Cricetulus griseus: one gene and its partners. The protein of the gene in region 1 purifies or fractionates together with the protein of each later gene. This does not show direct contact. Links are inferred from orthologs where the notes say so. Each region holds a gene or a part of one and is shown in the gene's direction. Other genes may lie near its edges.

What was found.
Region 2: the proteins of Mtf2 (region 1) and Ezh1 purify together in Homo sapiens (affinity purification with mass spectrometry; 3 studies listed by BioGRID and IntAct, with this or other methods). This does not show direct contact. The link is inferred for Cricetulus griseus from reciprocal best matches to the Homo sapiens genes MTF2 and EZH1.
Region 3: the proteins of Mtf2 (region 1) and Ezh2 purify together in Homo sapiens (affinity purification with mass spectrometry; 10 studies listed by BioGRID and IntAct, with this or other methods). This does not show direct contact. The link is inferred for Cricetulus griseus from reciprocal best matches to the Homo sapiens genes MTF2 and EZH2.
Region 4: the proteins of Mtf2 (region 1) and Jarid2 purify together in Homo sapiens (affinity purification with mass spectrometry; 3 studies listed by BioGRID and IntAct, with this or other methods). This does not show direct contact. The link is inferred for Cricetulus griseus from reciprocal best matches to the Homo sapiens genes MTF2 and JARID2.

Annotation. Positions count from the first base shown.
Region 1 is NC_048600.1:2,858,852-2,861,175, forward strand, and holds part of Mtf2 (metal-response element-binding transcription factor 2), read left to right. Parts: coding exon 1-28; intron 29-137; coding exon 138-242; intron 243-1,670; coding exon 1,671-2,028; 3' UTR 2,029-2,324. UniProt on the Homo sapiens protein: Polycomb group (PcG) protein that specifically binds histone H3 trimethylated at 'Lys-36' (H3K36me3) and recruits the PRC2 complex, thus enhancing PRC2 H3K27me3 methylation activity.
Region 2 is NC_048600.1:114,246,823-114,250,389, reverse strand, and holds part of Ezh1 (histone-lysine N-methyltransferase EZH1), read left to right. Parts: intron 1-649; coding exon 650-690; intron 691-1,248; coding exon 1,249-1,374; intron 1,375-3,567.
Region 3 is NW_023276806.1:222,346,782-222,351,007, forward strand, and holds the start of Ezh2 (histone-lysine N-methyltransferase EZH2), read left to right. Parts: upstream 1-1,414; 5' UTR 1,415-1,509; intron 1,510-4,226. UniProt on the Homo sapiens protein: Polycomb group (PcG) protein. Catalytic subunit of the PRC2/EED-EZH2 complex, which methylates 'Lys-9' (H3K9me) and 'Lys-27' (H3K27me) of histone H3, leading to transcriptional repression of the affected target gene.
Region 4 is NC_048596.1:264,432,503-264,436,535, forward strand, and holds the start of Jarid2 (protein Jumonji), read left to right. Parts: upstream 1-1,209; 5' UTR 1,210-1,357; exon of another isoform or gene 1,358-1,407; intron 1,408-1,755; exon of another isoform or gene 1,756-2,164; 5' UTR 2,165-2,323; coding exon 2,324-2,368; intron 2,369-4,033.

The DNA of each region.
Region 1 (2,324 bases):
CTGCGTTGGATTTACCTTGTTCTATAGGGTAAATAGTTAATTTTTTTCTCTCTTAGGAATTTTCTTTATGAGGGAATTAGTATTTTTATATTGTTATGTAATATAGTTGTTATACCATTTAAATTCTTTTGTCTCAGGAGAACTGAGGGAATTGCACATTCATCCAATACCTCAGATGTGGACCTCACGGGTGCTTCCAGTGCAAAAGAAACTACCTCATCTAGCATTTCCAGGCATTATGGGTAGGTGTTTTATGTTCTTATTCTGGCCCTTAAAATCCACCCACCCATCCATCTATCCGTTTATTTAGAGACAGGGTTTGTGATTCTTTCTGTAGACCAGGCTGGCCTTGAAACTCAAACATTGGAACTCCTTGCCTCTGCCTTGAGTGCTGGAATTAAAATTTTGTACCACCATTGCCTGGGGTAGGTTTTGTGTTTTGTTTTTTAATTAAATTAATTTTTTTTCTAAAAGCTTTGTGAGACAGTGATGTATTATTTGGGGGTGACTTGCAGCTGTGTCACTCTCTTCCTCCGCCTGACACCCCGACACCTCCCTCTGCCCCTTCTCTCTCCTCTTCTAAACCTTCTATGTGAGCCTTAAAAAAATAAAAAATAAAAAAAGGCAGCTGTGTCACTGAGAAGCCGTGAGTTGACAACTCATAAAAGCTCTGTCCCTGGAAGTCCCTGCATAACTTGTAGATAGTTCCAAAAAGAGTTCCTCCCCAGTGCATTCCCCCTGTTCTTATAACTGAAGGGGGAGTCTTGGAACTTTCTATGCTTTCTGAGTCTTATGAGTTTCCTAATTTGGTTTCCTTAGCTTACTAACCCTTTAAAAAAGTTTGCTTGTTATTTCAAAATAAAAATAGAGATGCCCCAGATGGTAGAGGCGCACCTTTAATACTTGAGCGCCTTTAATCCCAGCACTCAAGAGGCAGAGGCAGGCAGATCTGTGAGTTTGAGGCCGACCTGGTCTACAGGGTGAGTTCTAGTACAGACAAGGCTACACAGAGAAACCTGTGTTGATGTCCCCCTCCCCATCCAAATACAGACGTGCGAGTGTGTGTGCGCACGCACGTTCTCGAGATCTCGCAAAAAACCCCCCCCATTGATTTATTTTGGATGTGGGTATGCACAAGCATGTGTGCATAGAGGTCATGAAGTAGTCGATGCTCTCCTTTCATCTTATTGGTTCTCGGGGTTGAATTCAGGTTCTCAGGTGTCTTTATTCACTGAGCCATGCTTTGATTTGCAACCCAGTCCAACCAGATTTGTGTATAGAGATATGTGCTCTGGCCATTGTATATAGTAAGCTGTACACCTTTCTGTTGCCCCCAACCACCTTTTGTGTGTGTGGGGGGGGATGGGGAACGAGGACGGGGGCAGATTTCCATGTAGCTCTGGCTGTTTTGGAACTCACTATGTAAAGCAGGCTGGCCTCCCAGAGATTTGCCTGCCTCTGTCTCCACAGTTCTGGGACTGAAAGTGTATTGCCACACCTGGCTCCTGTTAAGAACTTTGGTGTTTGCATTATACAAGTGTACCTTGCTTTAGGATGGTTTTATATTTTAAACATTTGAATCAACACACACAGCCCTTTTCAGGTACAAAGATTCTAAACTCTGATTAAGAAAACATCTTAGAGACATGTTTTTTTTTTCCCCACCCTAGATTATCTGACTCTAGGAAAAGAACTCGCACAGGAAGATCTTGGCCTGCTGCAATACCACATTTGCGGAGAAGAAGAGGTCGCCTTCCAAGAAGAACACTCCAGACTCAGAACTCAGAAGTTGTAAAAGATGATGAAGGCAAAGAAGATTATCAGTTTGAAGAAATTAACACAGAAATCCTGAATAACTTAGCCGATCAGGAGCTGCAACTCAATCACCTGAAAAACTCTATCACTAGTTACTTTGGTGCTGCAGGTAGAATAGCATGTGGTGAGAAGTACCGAGTTTTGGCTCGTCGGGTGACCCTTGATGGAAAGGTGCAGTACCTCGTGGAATGGGAAGGAGCCACTGCATCCTGACCGCAGGACTGAACATAATGTTCACTGCACTCACATTCTGTGGTTCAAAGCCCTAAAAGAGTGTGGGCTTTACTATCTTTCTTAAAAAAACAAACAAGCAGAAAACTCAAAAAAATTCACAGAAGGAGATGATACTAGCCTTAACATGTACTTGTCAATGTTATGGATGTTGTCATAAAAAGATATCTTTTAAAAATCAGAGGAGAGACTTAATTTTTTAAATCTTAAGATTTGTAGAATGTTTCTAGGATAGGATATTAAACATGATTCAAACCCATGCATGGTGTTAGATACTT
Region 2 (3,567 bases), about 110 Mb from region 1:
TTATCACCTCTCAGGAGTTTGTTCCTTTTTTTTTTTTATCTAGATATTTATATGTGTTGTTTTTCAGAATCACATAACTGTGTATATGGATTGGAAGTTGAAGAAAGTTTAGTAGCTAGACATGGTTAATCCCAGTACTCAAGAGGCAGAGGCAGAGGCAGATGGGCCTCTGTGAGTTCAATGCCAGTCTGTTCTACATAGTGTCAGGCCAGGCAGGGCTACATAGTGAGACCCTGTCTGAAAATAAAACTATCACTCTGACAGACAGCCAGATTCCCTGATGTGTATTGGTAGCCAGGGAAGGGAGGTGGCTCTAGCTCCAGATACAAAAGCTGTTCTGTCTCTTTCCTGTCAGTTTCCTCACTGAAAGACTTTCCCACCTTAGAGCTCTGGCAAAGAGAACGAAGGAAAAGGAAGGAGCAATAGGAAGGAAAAGGAAGGAGCAATAGTGTGATAAGAGACAAGTTTGTGAGTTTTTGCTTTGTTAGACAGGCTCTAGATTCAGCCGACCAAAGTAGGTGCCTCCTTCTAAGGAACTCTGGAAGGGTACCTCAAAGTTGTCAAACTGTCCCTCAGAGCAGGGCACACTGTCATTTGTCTGCATCTACAGAGGATCGGGATTCAGACCTATCCCGTCTCTCTCTCCTAGGTTGTGGGCCGCACACTGCAGGAAAATTCAGCTGAAGAAAGGTGAGTTCAGTGGGAGAAAGGCCCCCACTTAGAGTAGAGTGTGTTCTTAGCGTGTTCAAGATTATAGGCTCCATCCTAGGCACATGCGCACATGCGCTCACATACACAGGTACACACAGTTCAGACTGAAGCCTCACCCTGTGGTTTTCACCCTGCCACACCTATAGCTCTCTTGTTGACCCTGGCTGCTTCTGCAGATTGCAGATTTCTTTGCAGCGTCTCAAGGGCTGAGCCAGTGGCTACAGCTAAGATGCCCTCTCAGGAGATAAACTTAAGGCCTTGTGGTCTCTTAAGTTTCCTAGTGTGCTGTTTGCCAGTGCCAGACCTCTTTTCATGTTTAGAGTAGCTGCCTTGTTATCTCTGGCCTTCTCCACACCCTACCCACAAAGCAGATATCTCACATGTTTATGTACAGGGGTCAGCTACTTTATCAGGTGCTAAGTGTGTCTAAAGTCATGATTAGGACAAGCTTACTTTGACTTGGGGCACTGGAACATTTGGAGAGTAGGGCATCAAGGGAGCCTGGTCATAGCAGTGTCCTTCTCTATTCTCTTCTAGATAACTCTTCTACACAGGTGTATAACTACCAACCCTGTGACCACCCAGACCGTCCCTGTGACAGCACCTGCCCCTGCATCATGACCCAGAATTTCTGTGAGAAGTTCTGCCAGTGCAGCCCAGACTGTAAGAGCACCCTGCTTTCACCATCGTCTACCAAAGTGGTTGGCCTTGGAGTCTCCAGGCTCCCTTCTGCCCCATAGCTGCCTGTAGACCTTTGATATCCCTTTGCTATGGTTCAGGCATCCTACAGGGCAGGAAGGTGTGAGCCACTGAAAAGTTGTGGGGGTTGGTTAGTCTATTTTTAATTTTAAAACATTATTTTATTGTTTTATGTATATGAGCGTTTTGCCTACATGTATGTCTGCATTGTGGGCATACCTGTTGTCCAAGGAAGTCAGAAAAGGGAGTCAGATCTCTTGGAACTAGAGTCACAGACAGTGTGAGCCACTGTGTGGGTGCTGGGAATCAATCCCAGGTCCTCTGGAAGAGCAGCCAGTTCCCCATGCTGATAAGCCATCACTCTAACCCCTGTTCTACTGTATAAAAGCACCCCAACTCCTGGGCTCTCAAAGTCTCTCCTTGCTCTCCCAACTCTTCCCCTTTCTCCCCTCCCCACTCTCTATATTTTCAAGCAGTTTTCCTTTCTCCACAGCTTAGATAGCTGAGGTTACAGGGATGTGCCACTTTTCCCAGCTGTGAAAGTCAGGTGGGGAGTCTGGAAATAGGAACTAGATATGATGCTTCTCCCATCTTCTCCTTTTAGGGAGAACTGAGAAACAGGAGTTTTTCCTACGATGCATTCACAGTCTCCTCTTTCTTTAGGATGTTGTTTTTAAAAAGTGTTAGGGCTGGAGAGGTGGCTCAGTGGTTAAAAGCACTTTCTGCTCTTCCAAAGGACCTGAGTTTGGTTCCCCGCATCCGTGGTAGGCAGCTCACAACCATGTGTAATTTCAGTTCAAGGAGACACCTGACACTTCTGTCCTCGGGCATCCGCACACACTTGGCATACACATACATATAAATAAATAAAAATAAAAGTGGGAAAAAAAGGTTATATGGGTTGAGCATGGTAGTATGTAACTAACTAGGTCTGGAATTCTACTCTGGGAGTCTGAGGCAGGAGGATCAGAGTTCAAGGCCAACCTGTGCTACTAATGAAATCATGTTTCCACAACCGCTATCACCTGCAGATTTGTTTATCTGGATGCAGTGTTACCTACCTACCTACCTACATACATACATATCTCTAGCATTGCAAGAAAGGCAGGTGAATCACTTGGACCTAGACTAAAACCCTGCCTCACAAGAGGGGGAAGAGGGGGAAAGAGAAAAAAGAAGGAGGGCTGGTGAGGTGGTTCAGCAGGTAAAGGCAGCAAAACAAACTTGCCAGGAAGCCTGGCTTAGATCCCTGGAACCACATGATGGACAGAGAGAACTGCTTCCTGCGTTGTCTGTCCTCTTATCTCCACACACGTGAATGGCAGGGTGTGTCTACATCTCTGTACACACCCACTAAATACATAGAATTTTTGTAAAAGTTTGAAGAAAAGAAAAAGAATATACACAGCGAAGTCTTTTGGGATTTTGAGAATTTTTGATAACCCAGGCCTAACCTTGAACTCCTCATCCTCCTGCCCCTACCTCTCAGCTTCTGGAATTACGGGCATGTGCCACCACAGCGGACCCATATAGAGAATTCCTCATGTTTGTGTAATAGCTGAAGACTGAGTGGTTGTGGTTCTAGGGGTTGCACCTATGACTCTACTCTGTTTATACTCTACTCTGTCTATACTCACTCCAGCTAGAGTTCTTTAGAACACATTTTTCCCCCACAAATATTAATTGAGCTGGGTAAAGAGCCTTTATTTCAACATACTAGCTAGAGTTTATTTTGTTGTTATTTTTTGTTTTGTTTTGAGACAGGGTTTCACTATGCAGTCCTGGGTGGCCTTAAATTCACAGAGATCTACCTGCCTCTGCCTCTAGAGTACTGGGATTATTGACGTGTGCCACCATACTTAGCTGAGGAGTTAGACTATCTCGTAGAAGGAGCTGGAATGGGTAAAAGTGCTTGTAGAAAACTCTGGGTTCCCAGCACCCATATCAGGCAGCTTAGAAGGAAATAACAGCTTTAGCTCCAAGGGATCTGATGCCACCTTTTGGCTTCCAAGGGCTCTTGCACTCAGGTGCACATAGTCACCCACAGATATACACACATAATTAAAATTAAAAATCAGTATGTTAGGGCCTGAAGAGATGGCTAAGTGGTCAAAAGCAGAAAACCTGGGTTCTGTTCCTGGCACCCTCACAACTGCT
Region 3 (4,226 bases), on another chromosome or scaffold:
CATTTTTACCAGGGCAGGTTAATATACTGATGATTGTTTGGTATGACTGCTAGCATTTGTCACATGCACTCTGGGTGTACATATTTTGTTTGTATTTGGACATAATTGCATTTTCTCTCAATCTTAGAGATTCTAAGCATACTTCTCAGCATTGGATAGTTTCAGTACACATGAAGGACTAGATGCTTTGCTGCTATTCTCGGTGGTCAACTTGACTATATCAGGAATTAACTAAAACTCAAAGAGGCTGGGTGTACCCTTCAGGGATTTTTTTAATTAAATCATTTGTTTTTAATCTGGATCTTTTGAGGTGGGAAGTTAAACCTACTTGTTTTAGCTCCAGGTGGCAAATCCATTCTCTCACTGGCAGTATATTAAAGACCAGTCAAAGACATCCAGGTTTGTGGAATGAACTAATACTGGATTCTTGGTTTTCTGTTGGTGGACAGCAATTGTTGGACTAGTTGGTCCACAGGCTGTAAGCAATTCTCATATATCTCCATCTTCATCTACACACACACACATACATATATATTCATTTTATCAGTTCTGATCCTCTAGAGAACCACGACAGATACATAACTCAATTTCCAGTGTTACAAATTCTCAGTCTTAACTCTTCATTATTGAATCTGTTTTTACGGGTCTATGGGATTTTGCCATACAGACACATATTATTAAAAGTGAATTCGGCCGGGCGCTGGTAGAGCACGCCTTGAATTCCAGCACTCGGGAGGCAGAGGCAGGCGGATCTCTGTGTGTTGGAGGGCCAGCCTGGTCTCCAGAACTAGTTGGAGGCCAGCCAGGGCTACACAAACGAAGCAAATTCGAAGTTTCTTTCACTCCAGCTGCCAGATAACGCAACAGGGGTTAAGAGTGTATACTAAGCACATTCCTAACTCCTCTTGGTTGAGACAGAGGGACTCCCAAGGTGGTTTTCTAACCCTTGACAAACGTTGCAATCTTCCTTACACACTTTCCCGCGACAGCAGGGGGTAGGCGATCTGCTCTCCGAAGTTGTTAATAAACAACCTGGAGCCGGACAAAGCTGAGCAAACCACAAACACGGCTTGTTCAGGAGAAACCCGAAGTCACCGTCCTGTTGCTTTTTTCTGACGCGGCCGGGACTCTTGGCGCCAGCCGGTTCTGCGAGCCAAAGACGCCGAAAGGAACCGCGCTTTCTCTGCCCCGTGGGGTCCGCCACGCGTCTTCCTGTGCGAGCGAGGGGCCCCGGGGCCCAGCCAGGATGTGCACACCAGAGATGGCGGTTACAACTGTCACCTCCCCCAGATTTGAACTATTTCAAACTTGGCTCTGGCGCCCGCCCGCTCGCTCGCCCGCCCCCCCTCCCTCCCCTCCCCCTCCCCCTCTGGAGAGCGGTTCCCGCCAAGGGCAGGCCCGCCCTCCGGCCGGTTCCCGCCACCGCGGCCTCCCCGCCTCCTCTCATCACAGCGGGCTTCGAGGCCTGCCGAGTGCCGGGCCCCGGCCTGCCCGCGGCGCCCCCGACAGGTACCCGACGCCGGCACCAGAACAAAGACGGCGACCGGGGGGCGCCTTCCACCGCGCAAGCCGCTCTCCTCCTCCTCCTCCCTCCGCCGCCTCCTCCTCCTCCGAGCGAGCGAGCGAGCGCCCGCCACTCGCGCCCGCGCGCAAGGCTCTCAGCGCGTCGGGCGCTCTGATTGGACGGGCGCACTCCGGCGTCCGCCAATCGGGGCGGCGCTTGATTGCGCTAATAAAAGCGATGGCGATTGGGCTGCTGCGTTTGGCGCTCGGTCCGGTCGCGTCCGACACCCAGTGGGACATCGAAGGCAGCGGAGTGGCGGCGGCGCGTGGGGGCGGCGCGCGGGAGCGGCGCGCGGGAGCGGCGCGTGGGGCGGCGCGGGCGAAGGTAGCGCTCGCGACCGGCGGTGGGCAGTGCGGGCTCCGAAACGCGGCGCCCCGGGGCGGCGGCGGCGGCGGCGGCGACGCGCGGACCTCGGCGCGGGTGCCCGGCCGGTCTCCGGCATCGCCCGAACGGGGCTCCCTCGGGCGCCGCTTTTGTCGGCGCGGGGCCGGCGGGGAGGGCGACGGAACCTTTCCGAGGGGGCCGTGAGGTGCGGGCCGGTCCACGCGGTCCCGCGAGTGTCCTGTGCGGGTCCCTGGAGATCGAGCGCACGGGCGGGCGGGGCCGGTGGCGGGGGCTCCTGTCCGGGAGACCGATCCCGCCCGGCCGGCTGGGGCCCGCGTCGGGGCCGGGGCCCGGGGCGTTCCTGTGGCCGATCGGGACCGGCAGCTGCGAGCCTCAAGTCTCCTTTGTGTGGCGGGCGGGCGGGACGGGACACCACACACAAGTTGGTGGGACCGAGCGGAGTCCGCACTCAGACAAAGGACGGACTGTGTCTCCGGAGCGGAGCGGAGGGGAGGGCGCGACCCCCGGGGCTCCCGCCGCGCGGGTGGGGGCGTGGGGAGGCGCGAGGCGAGCGCGAGTGGGCAGGGCTCGCCTTTCGGGGCGGGCCGGGCCGGCCGGGCTGGGCTGGGCGCGGGGTGGGGGCGGGCGGGCGGGCGAGCAGCTCTCGGCACCCGGCACCGCCGCTGCGCTTCGGGACTGCGAGCGCCAGCGAGGTGGGACCTCCCTCAGCCCCGAGGCTGACATTTCCCCGAGAGCCGCGGGGAGCCTCCTCGCCTGGCTTTGTGCTAAGTTCCCTGGGGACAGTGGAGCTGCGCCCGGGGCTCTCGGTGGCCCCGGCGCGGAGGGCTCGCCTCACGGTGCATCGCCCCCTGCGCGCACCACAGGCTGTGCCGCGCGCGGGGCGACTTTTTGGGAAATGGGAGAAACTGAGAAAGCACGGGCTTTCTTTCTCCAAACTTGGTGGGCGTTTCGTGAGTTCCACTTTCTAAAGAAGAGTAATCTTTTTTTTTTCTGTTGTTGTTTAAAAAAGGGGCTGTTTAGGCCAACTTGTTTGCTTTTGAGAATGGCGACAGGTGCTAACGAAACCAACTGTCATTTACTCAGCGATTATTCCCCGAATCTCCAGGGGTTCAGTGTGGAAGAGATGATACAACTGGATGATCGAAATAAAATGCCCACGAGAAATGTGGGCTTAGACTGTAGTAGGGTTGACAGTTTCTTATTAGTGGGTCATGTTTTCCCTTGAACAATAGCTTTGTTGAGTCAGAAAAGAGGTTTGCTACCCAAGAAATTCGAATGTATTCTGGTCACAATTCCATGAAACTTCCTTTGTTTATTACATACGATCTGTAGAACCTAAATTCATTTGAAGTAAAGAATCTGCCTTTGATATTTAAAATACTTTACTACAAGGCTTTCTCGGTTTCAAAAAAGTCGTTATTAGTTTAATTTTATGGGGTTTTTATGTCACATAAAACATTTGAAAAATATTTTAAAATGCTAATTCTGTCACAGTTGAATGTAGTTTATATTTCTGGCAATTTTTGAATTTATTTTCAATTACCTTTGATTAATGGACATTAGCAGTGAATCCATATTTAGAAATAAAATATAAAGCACTATATTTTAAGCAATTTACTCATAATTTTATTTGCAAAAACGTGGAAATATTTGGGTCATAATTTAATTTCCTGTTCTTGTTCTCCCAAGTTGGAAAAGGATTGTATTCTGGTCTTAAACGAAAAGATTCCTGCTTTTTCTCTTTGGAGTCATATTAGAGAATGAGCTATTTAAAGCCCCAGAAACACTTAGGAAAATTGCATCCTAAATTATTATTTTGATGGTGCTTGAATATACTTCTTAAAAAACAAAGCAAAAGGAAAGCACAGGCTCTGCTTATTGCAGTGTTTTATATAATGAAGACCTAAAGTACATTTGCTAACTTACAGCTTCATACAAATGGAGAGAGACAAAGATGCAGTGTCAGATCTCTAGTGCTTCAGATTTGTCAAGCAGAGCATCTCAGAACAGACATTCCAGTGCTGCTCTAAGTGTTGAAACTAAAATAAGATTTACATTTATTTTAAAGTCCTGTTGATACTCTCATTCATTATGACATGAGCTAGTTGTGTAGAATTTTGGTAGAAACTTGGGTGTTAGACTTTAAAAATGCCAGTTTTGCCTGAACATGTGACTTGCCCTATCGTTGACATTTGCTATTTTGTACTTGCAACAGATATTTTTTAAAACCTCTTTTTGAAGAATTGGCTAAGATTTTTGCCTTATGTTTTGGTAGAATTGACAGTATTTTTAGGCAGTCTAAATAGTGATGGAGAAG
Region 4 (4,033 bases), on another chromosome or scaffold:
GAAAAGGTGTGTCTGCAGGTGGACCGGGGAGGGGCCAGCGTTTTCGTTTGACTGACGCTAACCTGGCAGATTTGAAAAAGAGGACCTCTAAGACCCCAAGTAAAGACCAGGAAATTAACGCAGACGCCGGGAGACTTGATAAAGTTACTGCGAGTGCGAAAGCCCCAGAGAGCGACAGCAGGGCCTGCGATCCATTGATCTGAGCGACTGACGAGCCTGGGCAGGGGCTGGGGCAGGTAAGGCTGTGGGGCACAGACCGTTGGTATTTCGGGCACTCGGTGTTCGAGACGCTTCCTTGCGGTCTGCGTGTGTGTCGCTCGGGCTCCGTATTCCGCTGGGTCTTTTTTTTTTTTTTTTTTTTCACCTCAGCGTTTCAGTCTTACTCGCGGACAGCCCTAGTCCTCAGGGTAAAGACCCCCTTAACCGTCTTCACAGACAGCTGGGGCTTCACCTCCGAGCCACCAGCGACGGCCTAGTGTCGCGCCGGGCGGAGGCTCGCGGGCTGGCGACCGCGGGGCCGCGTGCCCGGTCCGGAGGTCGCCCTGCCCTCCGCCTCGCGCGTGGGGTCGCGAGTGGCCACGGGCCGGCGGCAAAGCCGTGACCTCGGACCACCCCGGCCGCGCGCCGCTGGCTCGCCCGCTCGCCCGCCCGCCCGCTCCCTCCGCACACGGGCGCGAGGCGCTGTCCTGAGGTGACACCGCCTGCCACGGCAGAAGCAGCAGGCGCCGCCGATCAGCGAGTTCGCACCGAGGATTCCTCTTGGTGCGTGGCCCAGTTTTGCTTAGGACCCGCTCCAACCCCTCGCTGACACCGCCCCCCGCGCCGCCACGCTCCGAGGCCTTCCTCGGGGAAGCCTGGCGGCTTTCCCCTCGCGGCCCGCGCCCCCGCGCCCGCGCCCCTCGCGCCCCCGCGCGCCGGCGCGCGCGAGCGATTCCTCGATTCCACAGGCGGTTCGCGCCCCGGGTGGGGGCGGGGCGCGCGGGCCTGGCCGGCCGCCTGCGGGGAGGGGACTGGGGGCGGGCCGGCGTGGGGAGTTCCTCGCTCGCGGACCACACGCTCCGCGGGCCAATCCCGAGCCAGCCTCTAGCAGTGTCGCACGCGGGACACGTCCAAGCGTTTGTTGGCAGGGCCGGCGAAGGGGGAGGGGGGGGCAGATCAGGGAAGGGAGTTGAGTGACAGGCGGTGCGGAGCACGCTGGGAATTGTAGTTCCTAGCTCCCGTGGCCATAGCCATTTTGTAGTCAAGGGACTACAACTTCCAGAAGATCAAGGGGACTGTTCTAAGGTGCCCCGGGAATAGGCGGCTCTCCCCCGGGCCGGGCGTCCTGGGGCACTGGTACCCAGCTGCCCGGCTGCAGGTAGACGTGAGGGCAGCGGCGAGGGTTTGCATGTGGCGGCCGGCCGTGGGGTGAGCGGACTGCGGGGAGGGGGGGAAGGGGCTGAGGTGGAGCGACCGAGCGTGCCATGCATTGAGTCTAGGGAGCCTCTCTCAATTCCGTGCTTGGGGTAGGAGTGGGAGAGGCGCCTGACGGGCGGTCCGCGAAGGAGTCGCGGAGGCCTCTCCCGGGTCTGGTCGACGGGGCTGGGGGTTTCTTGTGCACGGGGCCAGGGCTGGTGGGCAAAGGGTAAGCAAGCGTGCGGGGGCTCAGCTGTGGGAGTTTTCGGCTGGCGAGCGGCGGGGAATTAGCCGAGGAGCCCTAACTTGTATAAAAGCAGAGTCCATTTAAAGTTGGGCTGGATAGCCTGTCTCTCATTGGTTAGGGGGCTTGGAAAAAAGAGACTCGGCGAGCCCTCCGCTGTGGTGCTGCCGCCGCCGCCGCCGCCGCTGGAGTTGACTCTTCTGCTCGCACTGCTGCTGCAGCACAAACGTGACTTCCAACATTTTAAATTTATCCTTCCTTTTTCTTTTCCAAGATGTAACTACAGATCAGACACTAAGGACCTTCACGTTTCGCTGATGTAGTTTTTGGAAGAAAAAGGGGGGGAGTGAAGGGCGTCGGTTTTTTTTTTTCTTTTTTCTTTTTTTTGTGTCTCTGTTTTGTGTGTTTCGGGGAAAATTTTCCATTATGAGTGTTTTACTAAAGTGAATTTTTCTTGTTTGCTTCGTTCGTCTTTGGCTTTTTTATTTTTTCTTTTATCCTTCTCAATTTCGGATTTATTTCAAGGCGAATCTGGCTTTGGGGGAAGAGGAAGAAAAGTCGGATTACAAGATCAACCACCACCACCAACAATAAAAACCACCAGGATATTTTTTTGCAAATTTCTGACGGCTTTAAATTCATGAAGCAATTGTTTCCTTCTGCAATCAGCATTTCGATCTCAGAATGAGCAAAGAAAGACCCAAGAGGAATATCATTCAGAAGAAATACGTAAGTGCTCCTAATAACACATCCTTTGGCTTGCAGTTGTGAGCAATGGTTGTGAATGTCAAGTTTATAGATAATTCTGCAGCTCAAGTGTTTTAAACATAGCGTCCGATAAGGCTGTTTCTTTCTTTTCCCAAAGAGCTTTTCAGGCAAAGTCGTGTCTGCCTAGTTTGGTTGAGAAAACAGACTGGTGTAGAGATACCTCAAGTGAATAAATTGACCTGGAATGACACAACATTAATGTAGTTTTAGATGAAAGGCAAGTGATTTTGGTGGAGGTTGGGGCTCTGTGTGTGGGTGCCTGTGGTAATATAACTAAACTGCATTCTCGGGCGGATTTGGCCCCATACTGCACTTTGCATACAAATGAGCCTGTTCTTGGTGTTATTTGGAAAATCGTGTAAGGTGTGTGTGTTGGAAACCCTTTAAGTTGCAATCCTGGGTCCGATTAGAGCGAGCTTCTTGCACTGGCACATCCATTTAATATATGTGGTCATTTTGGCTTATCTAGTTTGCAACATAACTCAGTTGGGAATCATGTTACAGGGACTGCATTTATTGGTATTGACTTTAGTAATGAGGCTGATTTTGGTTTTGTTTAAAAAGAATTCATGGTTTCTGGGTTTAGGGCAAAAACAGAGCTAATGTTTTTAAGTATATATGTGTGTGAGTGAATGCATTTGTGGTCACTACAAATTTATTCTTGTTAATTGGGTTTCTGAAATTGGGTTGTAATAGTTAAATTTGTTTTGTGCATAGTATAGCAACGTTTTGCTCGGCATAAGGAGTGTTTTTGTTTTGTGTAGTGGCCCTTTTTTTCTTTTTTTGGTAAAGTTTTGGGGGGAGGGAGCAAAGAAGGGAACCAGGGGATTAACCAAATATGCACTCGAGTGATCCGGTGGTTAGCTGCATATGCTTAGAGCAAATAACTCATCTCCCCCCCCCCCCCGAAAAAAGGCCCTCGAAGATACACATAAAGAACAATGCGATCCTATAAGAAAGTTTTATATAACTAGAGTCGATAATTTGGTGTTAGTATTTTTCCCTTTCTGTGTGGAGTGTATAATGGGAGATGACCTTCGGGGCAGTGCCTCTGTAAAAAATATATTTAATGGAGAAAACCTGAATTCCTCTTCCGGAGAGCTGATTCTAATCTAGACACGTAAACTTAACTATGAAAGAAACGCGAGATTAAATAATGAAGCTCAACTTACAAAGCTGCTCCATAAGGAATTTAAGAATTAAAATACATCCGCATTGCAGAGGGCTGGGTAGATCGCTAAGGACTAGTTTAAACTCAGTGTGTAGAAACTGCTTGGGCAGAGCCTTGCCTTGGAGAGTCCGCCTTCCCAGAACATGTCTGTTTCTGATGTAGCCACAAAGGAGATGAGGTAGAACTTGGACAAGAACCCTCCACCCTATCCCGGACCTTGATAAGTTGGAGAGTACTGTGCGGTAGGCTTTTTTGTTGTTGCTCGTGGCCAGCGGATCCTGGCGAGTCCGGGCATCTGGCCGCAAGCCGATGTGGCCGCCGGTGGAGGCGCGAGGCAGAGCACGAGTTGCCGTTGCGGGAGCCGAGTCCGTGCTCACGCCGAGCTCCGGACGCAGCGCGGGCCGGGAGGGGTGAGCGGGGCCCGCGGCGGGCTGGGCCGGGGCCGGGGCCGGGGC